2 linked regions of the Neodiprion lecontei genome follow. The protein of the gene in region 1 interacts with the protein of each later gene in a pairwise test. Links are inferred from orthologs where the notes say so. Each region holds a gene or a part of one and is shown in the gene's direction. Other genes may lie near its edges. The genes, in order: teneurin-m and filamin-A.

The links.
Region 2: the proteins of teneurin-m (region 1) and filamin-A interact in binary tests that used the Drosophila melanogaster proteins (3 or more experiments, as listed by UniProt). The link is inferred for Neodiprion lecontei from reciprocal best matches to the Drosophila melanogaster genes Ten-m and cher.

The regions. Positions count from the first base shown.
Region 1 is NC_060265.1:4,840,275-4,844,202, forward strand, and holds the start of teneurin-m, read left to right. Parts: upstream 1-1,393; 5' UTR 1,394-1,756; coding exon 1,757-3,707; intron 3,708-3,928. UniProt on the Drosophila melanogaster protein: Involved in neural development, regulating the establishment of proper connectivity within the nervous system. Acts as a homophilic and heterophilic synaptic cell adhesion molecule that drives synapse assembly.
Region 2 is NC_060264.1:36,042,004-36,045,931, forward strand, and holds the start of filamin-A, read left to right. Parts: upstream 1-1,458; 5' UTR 1,459-1,690; intron 1,691-3,787; 5' UTR 3,788-3,889; exon of another isoform or gene 3,890-3,928. UniProt on the Drosophila melanogaster protein: Involved in the germline ring canal formation. May tether actin microfilament within the ovarian ring canal to the cell membrane. Contributes to actin microfilaments organization.

The DNA.
Region 1 (3,928 bases):
AATAGGTTGCCAAGTCCTTGCTGGACTTGACAACGTCATGAATCATCGGGCTTTTGGAGTTGTGGCTGTTATACGGGCTGAATGAGTCAACGTCGGTGAATGGCAATTGTCACTTTTGAATTCGAATAACGTACCGTTCCTCGCTATAAGTGTCGTTCGGTGCTTGGATTCCTCCGGCGGCGGTATACTCACCTTTCACAAGTGTCTCCTTCCCGCTTTTCCTCGGAGAGACACTTCAGAACGCGGTCAGTCCGCAAGTTCGAAAGAGTTCGGGAACATCCTCGGGTCCGTGTATCGAGGACTTTGTAACAAAGTATACAATACAGAACGTATGGGTATACATATATCCCAGTCCCAGTTTCTCTTTCGAGTTTTACACAAGCCCGAAAAGTCAGGGAAGTGTTGCCGGCGCGAAAACTGTTTGTACTACTTGAAGGCCGGCAGTGAAGTGGTCTGGCTTTGATCATCTTTATTGCGTCGCGTCGTGGCTCTGAAAACTAAGACAAACGGACCTGCCTTCTTTCGCTCGGAATCTGACTATATCTCGTTTAAATATTTTTCTTGGACTTTCGTAAGTTTTCCTTCAGGTTTCCACTTCCCCGAAGAATAATTTACGATAAAGCCTCGAGAGTCGCGCTAACTCCATTCAGGAAAAACAAGCTGGCCCAATTTTTCCCTTGTTTATCTTACTCGCACCACCACTCAACGTCCCTCGCTCGCGTTACCATCGCCACGCTAATTGCCTCCAAACAATTTCACGTTATTCACAATTCCAGAGTGACGCTACCCTACGGCCACGGTCCGTCGATGATTCCAATGAGGCGGCAGAGCTTCAGATGCCAGCTCCGCAAGGGTATCGACTGGTGCAGTTGGAAACTGATTGCCATCGTGGTGATCATGCTCTCCCTCTGTTTGACGGCAGCCCTCACCTACGTTGCAGGTAACGAGATGTTTTACAGCTGACGACACGTCAGGCAGAGCGACCCGAGTGCAGTGCGGGATACTAATTTGTCGAATGCATTTGCTTGCAGCGTCGAACATGGTGAACTGGAACCAAGGCACGAAAGCGTGCACCGTTCTCGTTGGCGAAAATACAGAATCGAAGCCGGCGAGCACAGAGCCGAACAAGACGTCGTCGAGCAGGCCGAGACAGCAATCGTCATCAGGAGGTAATAATTTAGACCCTGTTTACACCCGCAAGCGTAGAGACACACCTAACCAGCATGCCCCAGTGTTGCACCAAACTTCCCAAGCCTCAGACACGTCTGCAGAAATGCCAAAACCTTACCCAAGCACTGGTACCGGTCAGGTTGGCGTGGAATCAGCACAGCCCGAATCACCGACAACGATCTCTTTGCATGAAGATATAAGTAGGAGTGTGCATGCTGAGCTAAGTGGGCATGAAAACGTGCAGGTTAGTGGGCCGGTTTTGTCGGCGCCAAAAACGGAACCTCCAAAGTCAGGATCGTCGACCATCGGGCCAGTGCTTTATGTGAATGTCTCTAGCTCTACTAACTCTTTTCTCGATTCTGCGAACCTCACGAACACTGTCAATCCTCTTTCTCAAACTTCTTCGGAGGACCCCGATCCGAGCACAATTGCTTCGGTAGAAATCGCGCCTGAATCCGACGGATCTCAAACTGCTCATGACGACGCTGTGAGTAGGTATGCAAGCGTTGAAACGTTTGTTGATGAAAAAATTGAGGTCAGCACAGAGATTTATACAGATTGGTCAATACCCGATAACTCTGACGAAATGGAAATTCCTGGGATACCCGAAATGATACCGAAACTCGATGGGAATCCGACAACAAATGGTTCATTCTCGGACGTGGAAGTTGATAAAGGCAACGCTAGCAGCAGCGGTGATGTGGAGACGATCTATACGCCCGGTATTGATTATCCGGCATCTATTAACCTTAACGGGAACGACGAGTCGAGGTTGGATTTTGATAAGCCGCCAGAACAAAACAGTAGCGAAAATGTAGAAGATGAAGTAGATAAATCTAGTTTGGACAGTAAGCATATAGATTCAAGTAATGGTAGTTTATTCTCCGATAATGATAACGTCGGGTTTGTCAATATGTCGTTATTCCACACTGACGCTAAAGCAAACGATGAAGTTTTACCACTGGCATTACCTTTAGTAGTAACTCGGATAGATAGCGATGCTCATAGCTCAGAAGAAGAAGAAGAAGAAGAAGAAGAAGAAGAAGAAGAAGAAGAAGAAGGCGCACAGCAAGGGCCTTCCGCTGAAATTGAAGCGATAGAACCGCCGAGTAAAAAAGTTAATCGAAAAACTGATGAACGGATAAATGCGACAATTAGTCAAAATGACGAGGCGATTTTCAAAGGGTCAAACGAAACGTCAGCCGGTTTGGAAAAAGCGAAGTCTTCCGGGGTTATAAAAGAAACGAGAGAATTGTCCCGCGAAGATTCCTCGTCGGAGTTTGTTACCAGTGGAATTTCACCCGGCATTACAACCGTGCCGGAGAAATCAGAGGAGCTACAGCGGGATTATCCAGTATTTAGTTATGGCCAGGACGAAGTAAAGATAATAAAACTAGACCAGGAGAAGGTCGGGGTGACTGTGAAATCCAAGATAGCCCGCGTACCAGACCAGGAAATAAAATCCGCCTCAAACTTGGCAACTAACGAAGTAAGAATTCAGGAGGAGGAGAAGAATAATCCCGAGGTTCCAGAAATTAAACGCAAGGAGAGTCTGCAGGTTGTGAATGCTGGAAGTGAGCAGTTTGGAGATAATACGGGTAATTTGAATGGCGATGAGGACGATAGTGAGAACAGCGTTCAACACGAGCCGACGAAGCTTAGTCAGAGGTCGGACACAGTTAACAATAACTGCGATAGCTCGTTGCATGAAAAGCATGAAACTACGAAATCATCTAACGCAAACTCTGTCGCATCTAACTCAAACAGCATTCCTGAACATCCATTAACGCATCAAGTACACGTCGTAGAGGTGCCCAGAAGCGCTGAATCGCAGCGACAATCGCGACGAGTACTTGTAAACGTGACAATTTCGACGGACGATTTTGAGGGAACCGCTGATTCGAATAAAGCTTCGCGCCCGTTGTACATGTTGTCCGTATCCGTACCAACCGATGGCCAAACTAACAATTTTCCCGGAATTAACATCAGCCCAATGCAATTGTCGGGGCAACAGGCAATGTCGAGCGTTGTGGAAAACTCGCGTGCCGATGAAACTACCACCCTAATTCCACCTCCGCCCCAACCCCCGACATCACCACCTCCGAGTTGGGGTGGGGAATGCGAATGCTCGTGTCCTTGCATGGAATCTGATGAGAAGGACAAATTTTCAGACGGAATTACCTCTTTCGAAAATGCTTTATTTAACGACTCTGAGAATGACAACTTCGGTTCTTTCTACGAGGACACTGACTCATTTACCAGCTCCGAAGATTACTCCCAGAATATTAATAATTCATTTCATATAAATGGTTCGAAAGGTCTGTCAGACGTTGAGGAGTCGACGACAGAGTCTTCATTAAGTAGTATTTCGGATTTGAACCTCACTCAGTCAACGACAGAATCTTGGTTAAGTAGTACTTCGGATTTGAACTTCAGCGAGTCGACTACATACTCCTCGGAGGAGATGACTACTCAAGGTTTTTGGTGCACTGGGACAACTCCACTTCCCCCAGAGCCCACTATACTGATTCTCGAAGGTGAGGTCTTGTTTTCTAACTTCTCTACTTTTTTTACTTTCTTTTCTTCCTACTCTACCTTTACACTATCGCTTTAGCTAACAGTGCTTCTTTGCTTGTCCTATCACACCGTTACACAGGCAGCATTATTTATCTTCCGGTTCTTTGCGTTGCACTTGTAAGTAGTGACTCAATGTTGGTTAACGTAATGAGTGTATTGATAGTAGAATTGTATATTAGTG
Region 2 (3,928 bases), on another chromosome or scaffold:
TGTAATTTCCAACCGACTTTCGAAGCTAAGTAATGCCCTGGGGATCGACCGACACTCACGTCATCCGTCGCCCCCACCATAAGAAGATGATAAGTAAATGCTCTGCATGTCTAGTGGAATAAAAAACCATCCAACACTTTCGACAGATTACTTTCTTTTGAAAGAAACATGATAAGGAATTATATACCCGCTGTGTATGAAGGATATTATTGGCGAGATTTGTTAGAAGATTATATCCTCGCCCAAAATTCGCGCAGTTAGGCTTTCTTCGGACCTTTGACAATGAGCTTATAGGTATACGGGACTCGAGATGCACGCACATATTCGTGTTGCGTCAGCTTTAACGTGGTAGGCAGATAACATTCAACAGTTGCTGTATATGTATACGTATAATACAAGTATAAAGCTGATATAAATTGTGCAAATGTAGACTATTACCAAAAGAGGTAACACAGCATGACGCGATAAGTGCGAACAGCATATTGTGGTAGGATACTTACAGTCGTTGAGCATATAATGGTATACTGGTCATGGACTCCTGATACAAACTTTAAAAAGTGACCATGTTCTATTCAGCATTACAGTATTCATATGAAGCTATATTTTTTTAGTAGGTGAAGAGCGCTTTTGAGATATTTATAAAAAAATATACATTATTCATTTATAATAATAATAATAATAGTAATATTTATTATAAAAAATGAATCGTAGAGAGTTAATGAATTGGGTATGAATGTACGACTGATTTTGGCTTTAGGTCAATGTGTTTACGCTAAGAACCGAAATAAATCATTGGATCCTCCTGCGGCACAAATTTAACTCGAACATAGAATTAAAATTAGGCGATGAATCGCGTTATCGCGACGTCACGGAATCTGGTGAGAAGCGAGTCACAGACTTGGTCATTGTTTCGAGTTGGCCTGACTTTGAACTATTTTTCAGGCTATAAGCACTAAATAGTACAAAGCTTTCAAATATAGTTTCGAGAGTATAAACGTGCAAAGAGTAGTTGCACGTAATAATAGAAACGCTAGAATGAATCCGCGGAAAAAGTATCCGCAAATTTTCATGCAGATGCCTAAAATCATTCCCTGGCAACTTTTCATTTGCACTTGCTTGAACGGTAGGAGAAATTCATGAAACGCAATTGTAAACGTAAACGCGCCAAGGAAGTCGCTGCGGCGGGCAAAAAGGAATTACCCTGATTTGCATCGGCTCCTTCCACGAAGGTACGTCACGGCTGGCGCCTGGTTGACTCGCTTGTCCCCATAGTCATACGTATTCACACTCACACTTTCGTTGAAAAATCTGACCGACCATTTGTATGTGGCATACCGCGTTCGTCGTGTATATGTATATAGATGTATATATAGCCATCCCCGCAGTCCCTGAAGGGTAAGAACGAGGAGCGGCGTTCTATTCTTGGCAAACTTCAGTTGGATCTGCTTTCGCGCTGGTAATACCGACAGTTAACGCCAGAGAGTGATCCGCTCAAGAACTCACCAAAAACTTGACCGTACCGTAGGAGACCAGCCCACGTATCAGCAGACCACTTCCTCCAGGTCGAGCTTTGCCGAGCTTTACACATTTTCAGTCTTTATCTAGCCACAGCGATCGACGGGTACTCAAGAAATTGGATTTAAAGTGCTCATCAGAACAGCAGCATCAGCTTCCAGTCGTACCAGTTGAGGTGAGGTGAAAATCTTAGAACGAATCTTGCGAAACACTCTGGCTTACAGGTGTAAGTTTAACCCCGATTGGGACCAGAAGATACTCGTATAGATTCGACCATGTTTTGTGAAAAAACTTCTTTATCAGAATGAGTGTGAAATAACCGCGGATTGTTGACGATCACGATGATGATCATGATGGGCTCTACGCCAGTTTGAGTATTTTCCTTTCGATTTTAAGCTCGGCATATTTTCTTTACCGTAATATTTTGCAGAAGAAGTGTTTCAATCTTAAGTAAAATCATCCCGAGTATTCCAATACATACACGATTGATAAGTTCACCGACTGTACGTGACTATGCAGTGAGTGACCGTTTATAGCTGCCAGACGTTATTCGTTTGTTTTGCAAGTGCCCGTAATATTTGGTTCACCTGTTCAACTCGACTCGCCGCTGTTTCGTTGTATTGCGTATAGTAAACACACATGGACATATGTGTACTGAAATTATCAATTCAATTCCAAGAATCACTGCGGCTAGGGTTTTTGTGATACATTTTTCTGAATGAAAGCGAATCATGACAGTCGCTAATTTCTGTTAAATAACATTAGACATTTGCACGCTTTTTGCAACGCTTTAAACTGTATCATGGCTGAGGATCGCGAAATTTCGCTACAGCCGCTGATATCGAAATTTGAGACCTGTACTGGTGATGCGAAATTCTATTTTGACCTAGACGCTCTTGCGCAGTATTATACGACAGAATGAAAAATTCATTTTTATGATGACAGAATGAATCTTCTTTGGTATCTCGAAAAACCTTGTCTACATTCGTATAGATAGTTGTACGTGGGCTGTAGTGAGCAGGGGTCTATTTCGAGACAATTTTACGTTTAAAAAAAAATAAAAAACCGACTCAGCTATTTATCTTTGTTCTCCCGGTCGATATACAAAAAACGGAAAACGAAAAGCAGAATATCGTAAATTCTTCCCGTTATATATTGCAGATGCTATCTTTTTCAGTTAATCAAGTCTGATAGAAAATTAAAATTTTTCATGCTGTACGTCGTTTTATAATAGAACAGGAGGTCCGTTAAACTGGCATCTTTTTGAGCACGACGCAGATCTGAAAGGACCAACAAAACAAAACCAGATTGTACCATAGTTCGGTTGCGCATCATCAGGTGTGGTCTGGAGGTTTTTCAAGGTTTAACGAAACAAAAACGGATGGTATGATAGTTCGGTTGCATATTTTTAGGCGTCGTGAATGCGAACGGTCTATACATAGTCGGATCAAGCTAATAGACTGTCATATTCGCGTTAACTGATTAAATAGAGCATTAGCTTACGAGTTATTTTAATTCAAAGTAGGGATACTTTTTGCCTATGTTTTCTAAAATTGTGACTTAGAGTAGATTTTTGTTACTCAATAGGATTGCGAAATTATTTTCCAAGTTTGTTTCTGAGCTCGGGTTCCTCGTTGCGGGTTCGCTTGCGCAACAATTGCTGTATGATATTCATGTAAAGAAAAGTGACACGCCACCTTATTCCAGTTGCCTGAAGAACGCGGGTATCAGGATAACGCTATTCATTGTTAGACAATAAGACTCTATTCTATGAAGACGTCGGACACCTTCCGCCACGTGAACCACAAAAAAATTCAGTGCATTGCAGATCGTCAAGAATCTTAAGCCTGCAGATTAACGCGGTATGCATATCACAATGTGGGCATCTATCGGTGCACAGAAATGATACAGTTCTACCAAAATCTATAGAGTTGGGCTACAGAACAGGTTTTTTTTTCATATAAACGTGGTCGGTCCACGGTGTTTTCATTCATCGAAGCCTTTATACATGCTAAATATTTTATAATTGCTACGTAACAACGATTCCAACGTAACATGTATTCGCAATTTACAGAATAACTCTTCAGTACATTTATCAGAACTTCATTAACTTGCCGACCTTACCGCAAGCTGACCGGCGACCGCATAGATTGCGGTCTCCGTATTTAGATATGTGATGCAATAGTCCGTACGGCGCTAGCAAGAACAAGGACAATTGTTTATTTAAGCAAAATTGTTTACTGTTTGAAATAAGTATGATCTTTTCCTGCAGGTACGGAGACGAACTGAGACGGAAAAGCTGAAAGACCGGGAGAGGGCAAATACGCAATAGCGCATTGTCTTCGAGATTGGTGGGGAGATTGAGAAAAAGAAGGTGAGGTCGCATTTTGATGATCATCCCAAGATACCCGAT